3 linked regions of the Xenopus tropicalis genome follow. The protein of the gene in region 2 interacts with the protein of the main gene of each other region in a biochemical or structural test. Links are inferred from orthologs where the notes say so. Each region holds a gene or a part of one and is shown on either strand. Other genes may lie near its edges.

The links.
Region 1: the proteins of fbxo7 (region 2) and cdc34 form a complex in vitro, tested with the Homo sapiens proteins (2 studies listed by BioGRID, with this or other methods). The link is inferred for Xenopus tropicalis from reciprocal best matches to the Homo sapiens genes FBXO7 and CDC34.
Region 3: of the proteins of fbxo7 (region 2) and uxt, one has a biochemical effect on the other in vitro, tested with the Homo sapiens proteins (2 studies listed by BioGRID). The link is inferred for Xenopus tropicalis from reciprocal best matches to the Homo sapiens genes FBXO7 and UXT.

What each region holds. Positions count from the first base shown.
Region 1 is NC_030677.2:105,629,709-105,633,460, reverse strand, and holds the start of cdc34 (ubiquitin-conjugating enzyme E2 R1), read right to left. Parts: upstream 2,609-3,752; 5' UTR 2,452-2,608; coding exon 2,269-2,451; intron 1-2,268. UniProt on the Homo sapiens protein: E2 ubiquitin-conjugating enzyme that accepts ubiquitin from an E1 ubiquitin-activating protein, and catalyzes its covalent attachment to other proteins by an E3 ubiquitin-protein ligase complex. In vitro catalyzes 'Lys-48'-linked polyubiquitination.
Region 2 is NC_030679.2:7,492,945-7,496,157, forward strand, and holds part of fbxo7 (F-box only protein 7), read right to left. Parts: intron 2,534-3,213; 5' UTR 2,515-2,533; coding exon 2,393-2,514; intron 2,317-2,392; coding exon 2,043-2,316; intron 1,370-2,042; coding exon 1,154-1,369; intron 1,076-1,153; coding exon 934-1,075; intron 458-933; coding exon 374-457; intron 1-373. UniProt on the Homo sapiens protein: Substrate recognition component of a SCF (SKP1-CUL1-F-box protein) E3 ubiquitin-protein ligase complex which mediates the ubiquitination and subsequent proteasomal degradation of target proteins and plays a role in several biological processes such as cell cycle, cell proliferation, or maintenance of chromosome stability.
Region 3 is NC_030684.2:1,338,338-1,342,089, reverse strand, and holds the end of uxt (protein UXT), read right to left. Parts: intron 2,624-3,752; coding exon 2,516-2,623; intron 2,134-2,515; coding exon 2,070-2,133; intron 599-2,069; coding exon 548-598; 3' UTR 153-547; downstream 1-152. UniProt on the Homo sapiens protein: Involved in gene transcription regulation. Acts in concert with the corepressor URI1 to regulate androgen receptor AR-mediated transcription. Together with URI1, associates with chromatin to the NKX3-1 promoter region.

The sequences.
Region 1 (3,752 bases), on a different chromosome or scaffold from region 2:
GTAGATCAACCAAATTTCAGTCTATTAAAAAAAAAAGTGTAATTTATTAATTTTTTACTTGTTTGCTCTCTTTCTGTAGTAACAATAAAACAGTATCTTGTGCTTTATGATAACTAAGCTAACATAAATCCATGTTTCTGGCTAAAAGATCATCTTGGTTTTTATTTTTAAATGCTTCAGCAGGCCATAAACGGGCCAATAAAAGCTGCTAGGTCAGTGCCTCCAGGCCAAATTAACAGCTTATTGGCTCGTGTATAGGGCCCGTCTGACCAATAGCTGATCAATTTTCAATACGGCAAGTTTGAAAATCCTATTGAATGAGGGTGCATTGGCACTCTGAATGTGGCTATCATGCAAGAGGCCCCAATAAAAGATTTGAATTATGTCCAAAAGCTTTCAGAATAATAGATCTCATACTTATAGAACTGCATGATGGGTAAGCAAGCTCAGCTGTCATCAGATTAATGATAAGTAAATAAAAAATAAGGTCTGTTTTCAGTTCCAGGGAGGCTGGATAATGAGATGCACCAATTCCAGAGTTTTATGATTCAAACCTTTGTAAAAGATTTGGCCTAATACCGAACCAAACTCTAATTTGCATTTGAAAACTAACCTATAAAAGGAATAAAAATGTTCAACTTCTGGGTTTACATAAAGAAATAGTGATTTTAAGGATTCAGATTTGGTTCAACCAGGCACATGGATTCGTCTGAATCCGAATCCTGTTGAAAAAGGCAGAATCTTGGCCAAACGCCGAAACAAATCCTGGATTCAGTGTATCCCTAATAATATGTATATTATACATATATTGAAAGTGGTGGTTCACCTTTGAGTTAACTTTTAGTATGTTATAGAAAGGCCAATTCTAAGCAACTTTTCAATTAGTCATTATGTTTTTCATAGTTTTTGAATTATTTACTCTTTGCAGCTTTCAAAGGGGGGTCACTGACCCCCAAGCCAAAGAACTATTGTTCTGCGAAGCTATAGTTTAACTGTTATTGTACATTACTTATGTTTCTATTCAGGCCCTCTCGTATTTATATATCAGTCTTTTATTCAAATCACACCATGGTGGCTTAGGTAATTTGGATCCAAGCAACCAAATAGCTGCTGAAACTCCAAGCTGGAGACAACCAAAAACTGAAATAATTAAAAAAAACTACAAATAAAAAATGAAAACCAGTTGCAAATTGTTTCAGAATATTACGCTCTACATCATACTAAAAATTAAGTAAAAGGTGGACAACCCCTTTAAAGGGGTTGTGCACCTTTGACTTAACTTTTTAGTATGATTTTTTTTTGGCTCAGGGGTCAGTGACCCCATTTGAAAGCTGCAAAGAGTTAGGACAAGGAGGCAAATAAATTAAGAAACTATGAAAAACAAATAATGAAGAATATTCGAAAAGTTGATTAGAATAGGTCTTTATATAAGATACTAAAAGTTAACTTAAAGGTGAACCACCCCTGTAAAACACAATTACATTGTTCTAGCCATTTAACATCTCATTATAAACCCCTATTAAATTTCTTGATCTGTGCAAATGTCTAGGAATAAGTAGTCCCTTGAAACTAATATTATATATATATATATATATATATATATATATATATATATATATATATACACACACACTATAGAAGGCACATCTTAACAAAACTGCCCAAAACTAAGTATAGAGACCCCTTTAATCCTTAAAAGAATGAGGCTTCATACATGTAGCTAGTATGGCATACTAAAATGTAAAAGAGTGGAACGCCTATGTTTGATTAATCTTCTGAAAATCTTTATGAAATAGGCACAGGATGAATACATATAAACCCAGGGTATCTCCACAAACACAAAGTGCCAAATCAGAAGTTAGATGAAGAGTTTAGAGCGTTTTCCTGTTACACAAAGGCCTTTATTGCTTTCTAACACCGTGCATCCTGTGGCTGGGGCCTAGCAGCTGTTGTTGGACTACAACTCGCAGAAAACAGGATTAAAGATTTAGTAGTGCCACACTCTTTCAGTAAGTTTTAGTTTTGGGGTAGCTTTGAGGGCTGGTTGAGTTTCATGTGAAACATTAGTTTCGGGCAAGTTACGGCTATGGCTGTAGGAGTCACATAAACAAAGGAAAGCTTGTTGTGCAGAAAGGCCCAGCGATGTACGCAATACCCACCCACGCCTCTATTACTTACTGCCTCTTTAAATACCCCCCAGCGTGGCTTTCCCTCCCCAAGGCCCCTATGATCACGAACTCCACCATTTCACACACACCTAACCCTCACCTTGAAGTACCCCCCCTCATAGAGGGTGTTTGGGGGGCCAAAGATTGCCACCTCCCAGTTGTACAGATCCCCCTCATCTACCAGGGTGACCCGGAACCCCTCCACCGGCTCTTCCTGTAGCCCCTTGAGTTCCAGCATCAAGGCCTTCTGAGAGCTGGGCACCGGCGCCACCGGCCGGGCCATGGTAGTTCCGCTCCCCGCTTTCTAACCAGGAGCCCACAGCGTCCTCCGCGTAGGGCAGGATGGGATCAGTAGGCTTTTGGTGTTTTAGCAAGAAGGGGCTGCTAGACGACTAAAGGCTTTATTACGACATGTTACGGCACAACGGAGCCGCTTTGCGAATTAACTTGCTGGCTGGAAGAGTAACGGGTGCCGGAAACTGCAAGTGAAGCCACGGCGTTGTGGGAGGAGCAGCCTACAAATCCCACAAGCCCACGAACACTGTGACGCACTGGTGCGAGGGAAGTGTAATCTGAGCGGAGGAAGGAGGGGTCTTGCTGAGGCTGATGGGAACAAAGCTAGATGTTGGTTTCTAGTGGGGAAACGTGATTTACAGAGCTTTTATTTAGTAGTGCAGTAGAAAACTTCAACTTGACACAAAGTTTCTGAATGAACAGTGAATATATCCTTTAATCTCCTAGAATATAACCTTCTAATACAGCTCACCTTAAAGGGCACCTATCACCCTCAAATTGTTTCCCTCATCAGAGGTTAGGGAAACAATAGCTTTTTGTGAAAAAAAAAAAAGCTCCTACCATTGCTAGGCTGCCTGCAGCAGAAGAGTGCTCCAGGTGTGGGCAGCCATATTGCCTCATTTCTCACAATGTGCATAATGAGTGAGTGCCACAAGTTGCTTATTATGTGCATGCTTGTGATGGAGGGTGAATTGCATCCACCACGCCTAGATCAGGCGCATGCGCATCATCTGCAAGTGGAAAGGCGCATTTATTATGCCCACGCATGGCAAACAACATGGTTGCCTGTACTGGGAGCTTCATTCAGGTGCGGGCAGCCTAGAAATGGCAGTTGCTGTATTTTTTAAAAACCAAACTATCGTTTTCCCTCAACCAAAGTGCTGCGTCTATTAGCCTGCACCTCTGGTGGGAGAAGCAGTTAAAGGGTCATAGGTGCACTTTAAAGGACAGGGAAACTTAGATTCAGTGGGTGGCAATTTATTGGGTGCCCCCAACACTTTCCATCAGGCCGGTGCTACACTTTGTAAAATGCCACTTCACTACTACTAGTTAAAGACTAGTTGCTTCCTACTCCATGTACGGTGTTGTAAACAGTAGCATAAGTAGAAGTTACTAGGCCCTGAAAAATCATTTTGGCACACCTTGAAATTAGAAATAATATCTTTCATATACATATAATGAAACTACTTATTATTCAGCAGGCTCCCAACAGTCACAGGGTGTGCTTGCTTTAAAGTTACATTCCTTGTTAAAGGAGATCTAAACCCTTAAAAATTAATATGGCAAGAA
Region 2 (3,213 bases):
AAGGGATAATGTACCCCCTACTGTAAATGATAAGGATATTAGCAGTCACTGAGGGGTTCTGTGCCCATATAAAGGCACAACACCAAAGGCCGAGTGCTTTTATACAGATCATGGAACGGAATATAAGGTGACTATTTTACAACAGGGGGTACCTTATTTATTATAACACATCATGTGATACAGATGACATCACTGAGCACCAATTATAACTGATGACATCACAGAGCACCATTTAAAAGGATATCGTTTACAGAAAACGCATGGCTCTTGTGTTTAGACATAAACTTCTGATCCCGGCTCTTCATCCGTTAACCCTTTCCTGACAATTTTTTTGGCCCCCGCACCCCCTTTACCGGCGGAATCTGCCCCGTACCTGTCTCGGGGTAGGAAATGTAGGAATTGGTCGACAGCTGAAGTTTCCGCACACTTTTCATCTCGCTGTTAATCTTCAGGGTGGCTGCACGTGCAAAAGAGGAGAAATGAGGATGGCGGCAGCCATATTGCAACAAGATGTGAGCCTATGCTGTCGGCCAGGGGTCCTCAAACTGTGGCCCACGGGCCGGTTCCAGCCCCCTGGGGTAGGTGGTGGTCTGGCCCCCCCATTGCTTAAGAAGTTTGAGGACCCCTGCTGTAGGCAATGAATACAAACAGGAAGAGCAACTGTCACCCTAGAATTCAGAGTTTATAGGTGCTATGGGTGACCTGGTGTCACATGGTTCCTATAAACAGAATGGGGGGGGGGAATATACCAGAGCAATGAGAAGGAGCTTTAATACAAGGCTGCAATGCAATGCATGTACACTAGGTGGGGCACTAACTCTTTAACATGCTCCTGTGCCACACACACAGCAGGGGGCAGTACAGACAGCAGATGAAGGCAGGGGGCTGGCAGACTGGGAGGAAGAGGAAGGATAAAGTACAAGTAATACTCACCATTGATTATGACCAGCTTGCCCATCGGCAAACAAGCCAAGGTGGCCGAGACTTCAGCGCACAGAGGGTGAGTGTAGTGCAGCCTGTAGGCCCCCCCGCTGCGCCAATCCTGCGGCATACACAGCACCTTGCTTTCAGCACCCTGGGGGGGGACAAGGAAGGGTTACCGACCCACCAATCACAGATCCCTGGGATGGGGGGGGCCATATTGACTCCCTACCTTCTGTAAGTAGCCAGTCTCCAGCATCAGTAGGTGGATGGCGACTATGAACGCGTCGCTGGCGCCGGTGCAGCCGGCAGTTTGGTACAGAACCTCCAGGGAGTGGGGGATTTTCCCATCTAGTGCCTCGCTGCAGAGCATCACCTCCCAGGCCGGGCCCGACATCCCATCCTCCATGGCCACGTCCTCCGCTGAGGGAGGGGCTTGCTGGGCAGCCTGGCAGCAAAACCAATGGGCATTAGATAAGCCTGTCCGTCTCTAGCCCCATGGCTACTGCCCCATGGCTACTGCCCCATGGCTACTGCCCCATGGCTACGGCCCCATGTCTCCTGCCCCATGTCTCCGGCCCCACGTCTCCTGCCCCACGTCTCCAGCCCCACGTCTCCAGCCCCACGTCTCCTGCCCCACGTCTCCTGCCCCACGTCTCCTGCCCCACGTCTCCTGCCCCACGTCTCCTGCCCCACGTCTCCTGCCCCACGTCTCCTGCCCCACGTCTCCTGCCCCACGTCTCCAGCCCCACGTCTCCAGCCCCACGTCTCCTGCCCCACGTCTCCTGCCCACGTCTCCTGCCCCACGTCTCCTGCCCCACGTCTCCGGCCCCACGTCTCCTGCCCCACGTCTCCTGCCCCACGTCTCCAGCCCCATGTCTCATGCCCCATGTCTCATGCCCCTTGTCTCCTGCCCCATGTCTCATGCCCCTTGTCTCCTGCCCCATGTCTCCGGCCCCATGTCTCATGCCCCTTGTCTCCTGCCCCATGTCTCCGGCCCCATGTCTCATGCCCCATGTCTCATGCCCCATGGCTACTGAGTAGAGAATTATTTCACCCATCCCTACTACTGAGTAAACCAGGAATACCAGTACTACCAGTAGTATCTCAGCACACATTACCTGAGCCATGGCTTGGGCTCCTGTGCTATCATCTGACTGGCTCTTGGGCCTCTTGTTAGTCGAGCTGCAGGGTTGGCTGGGATCCACCAGGGGGCAGCCAAGATCCCGCTTATCGGGGGCCGGAGCAGGAGCTGGCTGCGGCGGGGGCAGCTGAGAGTCCGGCAGTACCACAACAATCAGATCCCCGGAGATGATCCCCGCAGACTCCAGAGTGTTCTGATCCCCAGTCAGGGCATCTTTGCCATTCAGTGTGATGGTGAAATTTGCCTCAGTGCTGCAAAGGAAGGATATAATAATTAAAGGGTAAGTGTCCCTGCTGTATGTCTGTTCCCAGGGGGGCAGCGCATTACCTGTAGCCCAGAGCCGGCAGGGTGACGGAGGATAATTTACTGCGCAAGTCTCCCAGGGTCGGACTCTCCGCCTCCAGCTCTAAGCGATTGGTCTGCTTCCTCACTCTCACCCTCAGCTTCATTCTTATTGGCTGCGCGTCCCTGAGGGAAGAGAAAGGCTTCAGTAAAGGAACACGAGCGGCTTCTGATTGGCTATCGCTTCAGGCAACACATATTGTATTATTATCCTTTATTCATATAGCGCCGACATATTCTGCATCATTCCCATCAGTCCCTGCCCCAGTGAGCTTACAATCTAAGGTCCCTATCCCATTCCCATCAGTCCCTGCCCCAGTGAGCTTACAATCTAAGGTCCCTATCACATTCCCTTCAGTCCCTGCCCCAGTGAGCTTACAATCTAAGGTCCCTATCCCATTCCCATCAGTCCCTGCCCCAGTGAGCTTACAATCTAAGGTCCCTATCCCATTCCCATCAGCCCCTGCCCCAGTGAGCTTACAATCTAAGGTCCCTATCCCATTCCCATCAGTCCCTGCCCCAGTGAGCTTACAATCTAAGGTCCTTATCCCATTCCCATCAGTCCCTGCCCCAGTGAGCTTACAATCTAAGGTCCCTATCCCATTCCCATCAGCCCCTGCCCCAGTGAGCTTACAATCTAAGGTCCCTATCCCATTCCCATCAGTCCCTGCCCCAGTGAGCTTACAATCTAAGGTCCTTATCCCATTCCCATCAGCCCCTGCCCCAGTGAGCTTACAATCTAAGGTCCCTATCCCATTCCCATCAGCCCCTGCCCCAGTGAGCTTACAATCTAAGGTCCCTATCAC
Region 3 (3,752 bases), on a different chromosome or scaffold from region 2:
GGTTGGGGGCGGGTCCCCGGTTAGGGGCGGGGGTGCAGGTAAGGTTTGGGGGTCAGGAACCCAGAGTCCTTATCTCATATCACACAATGTTAACGACCGAGCGTCTGAGGGGGCGGGGTCTGACCATTTAGTTCTGTAGGTAGTGAGGCAGGTTAAGGGTTAAGCTTGACAGTCGGACTGTTTTTTTTTTATTTGTAAATAAGAGCAAATGATACAACACATTCAGGGGCCACATTTAGCCGTGTCTGGGGGCCACAAGTGCAGGGGGCTCCCTATGCCCAGAACCCCAGTTTGACTTAACCCCGTCACTTCTGTGCCCGGGATGCAATAGCCCCGCCTAGCCCAGTGTAAAGAGCTGCCTCCGTGCCCAATTCGGGCGTGTCACACGTGCAGCGTGTATTATCTACAGTGAGAAGCAGCCCCCGGAGTTGGCGAGGGCCACACAGTCTCCCCGGAGCTTGGCGGGGGCCACACAGTCAGTACAGAAACCAGCCAAACCCAACATGGCGGCGCGCAGAGCGGCGCGTTCCCTTTTATTTGCCCTCCGTCAACTTGGCACCTTTGTGTCATCCGGCAACTCCTGCAACTCCCGCAGACCCTGAAACGCAACATTCATAGAGAGTTCAGTTCTACCCCATACTGGGTATAGGGACCTTAGATTGTAAGCTCACTGGGGCAGGGACTGATGGGAATGTGATAGGGACCTTAGGTTGTAAGCTCACTGGGGCAGGGGCTGATGGGAATGGGATAGGGACCTTAGATTGTAAGCTCACTGGGGCAGGGACTGATGGGAATGGGATAGGGACCTTAGATTGTAAGCTCACTGGGGCAGGGACTGATGGGAATGGGATAGGGACCTTAGATTGTAAGCTCACTGGGGCAGGGACTGATGGGAATGTGATAGGGACCTTAGATTGTAAGCTCACTGGGGCAGGGACTGATGGGAATGGGATAGGGACCTTAGATTGTAAGCTCACTGGGGCAGGGACTGATGGGAATGGGATAGGGACCTTAGATTGTAAGCTCACTGGGGCAGGGACTGATGGGAATGGGATAGGGACCTTAGATTGTAAGCTCACTGGGGCAGGGACTGATGGGAATGGGATAGGGACCTTAGATTGTAAGCTCACTGGGCAGGGACTGATGGGAATGGGATAGGGACCTTAGATTGTAAGCTCACTGGGGCAGGGGCTGATGGGAATGGGATAGGGACCTTAGATTGTAAGCTCACTGGGGCAGGGGCTGATGGGAATGGGATAGGGACCTTAGATTGTAAGCTCACTGGGGCAGGGGCTGATGGGAATGGGATAGGGACCTTAGAGTGTAAGCTCACTGGGGCAGGGGCTGATGGGAATGGGATAGGGACCTTAGAGTGTAAGCTCACTGGGGCAGGGACTGATGGGAATGGGATAGGGACCTTAGATTGTAAGCTCACTGGGGCAGGGGCTGATGGGAATGGGATAGGGACCTTAGAGTGTAAGCTCACTGGGGCAGGGGCTGATGGGAATGGGATAGGGACCTTAGATTGTAAGCTCACTGGGGCTGGGACTGATGGGAATGGGATAGGGACCTTAGATTGTAAGCTCCACTGGGGCAGGGGCTGATGGGAATGGGATAGGGACCTTAGAGTGTAAGCTCACTGGGGCAGGGACTGATGGGAATGGGATAGGGACCTTAGATTGTAAGCTCACTGGGGCAGGGGCTGATGGGAATGGGATAGGGACCTTAGAGTGTAAGCTCACTGGGGCAGGGGCTGATGGGAATGGGATAGGGACCTTAGATTGTAAGCTCACTGGGGCTGGGACTGATGGGAATGGGATAGGGACCTTAGATTGTAAGCTCCACTGGGGCAGGGACTGATGGGAATGTGATAGGGACCTTAGATTGTAAGCTCACTGGGGCAGGGGCTGATGGGAATGGGATAGGGACCTTAGATTGTAAGCTCACTGGGGCAGGGGCTGATGGGAATGTGATAGGGACCTTAGATTGTAAGCTCACTGGGGCAGGGGCTGAGATAAGAGATAATATACTCCCCCCACCATACACTCCGCCCCCTGCGCCGGACTCACCTCCAGTACCAGTCGGATATGGGCTTTGATGCTCGCGGCGTCCCTAGACAAACTGTCGCTTACCCTGAAAGAGAGGGGCGGAGAGATTACAGGTGGGCGGCGCCCCTGTGTCGGGCAGTTTGTGCATTAGGGGTAACCAGCAGTGACAGACTAGTGAGCAGTAACTACCCCCTTGCAGCGGACAGTAGACTGGGGAGGGGGTAATACTAAGCGCCCAGGGGTGTATATACTGACATCACACGCACCCCCCCCCCTTGCTTGTAGCTCCTCCCAACATCCAGCCAATAGCAAAGGAATCCCACTCCAAATTAGCATATTAAATGAGCGCATCACCTCAGTGGCAGAAAGTGAGTCTGAAGGAGAAGAATGAAAATCAGCAATGTGTGTGGGCGGGGCCTCTGTGCCAGGGGGAGGGGCCTCTGTGCCAGGGGGAGGGGCATCCTTACTCAGTCAGCATTTTGTTTTTCTTCTCAATGAACTTCAGCGCCTCCGGCAGCGTCAGATCCAAGTAGAACCCAAAGCCCAAAGCCACGAAGATCCTGGAACAGTCGGGCCTGGGGGGGGAGAGAGCGATAAAGAAGCAGCAACAAAGTAGCACATGGGGGGAGGGGTTAGGAGGAGCCCTCATAGGGCATTGGAATACAGGGCGCCCGGTTATACCGTTACACAGGGCGCCCGGTTATACCCCCGTTACACAGGGCGCCCGGTTATACCCCCGTTACACAGGGCGCCCGGTTATACCCCCGTTACACAGGGCGCCCGGTTATACCCCCGTTACACAGGGCGCCCGGTTATACCCCCGTTACACAGGGCGCCCGGTTATACCCCCGTTACACAGGGTGCCCGGTTATACCCCCGTTACACAGGGTGCCCGGTTATACCCCCGTTACACAGGGTGCCCGGTTATACCGTTACACAGGGTGCCCGGTTATACCCCCGTTATACAGGGTGCCCGGTTATACCCCCGTTACACAGGGCGCCCGGTTATACCCCCGTTACACAGGGTGCCCGGTTATACCCCCGTTACACAGGGCGCCCGGTTATACCCCCGTTACACAGGGCGCCCGGTTATACCCCCGTTACACAGGGCGCCCGGTTATACCCCCGTTACACAGGGCGCCCGGTTATACCCCCGTTACACAGGGCGCCCGGTTATACCCCCGTTACACAGGGCGCCCGGTTATACCCCCGTTACACAGGGCGCCCGGTTATACCGTTACACAGGGCGCCCGGTTATACCCCCGTTACACAGGGCGCCCGGTTATACCCCCGTTACACAGGGCGCCCGGTTATACCCCCGTTACACAGGGCGCCCGGTTATACCCCCGTTACACAGGGTGCCCAGTTATACCCAGTTACACAGGGTGCCCGGTTATACCCAGTTACACAGGGTGCCCGGTTATACCCCGTTATACAGGGTGCCCAGTTATACCCAGTTACACAGGGTGCCCGGTTATACCCAGTTACACAGGGTGCCCGGTTATACCCCCATTACACAGGGTGCCCGGTTATACCCCCGTTACACAGGGTGCCCGGTTATACCCCCGTTACACAGGGTGCCCGGTTATACCCCCGTTATACAGGGTGCCCGGTTATACCCAGTTAAACAAGGTGCCCGGTTATACTCCCGTTACACAGAGTCCCCGGTTATACCCAGTGACACAAGGTGCCCAGTTATACGAG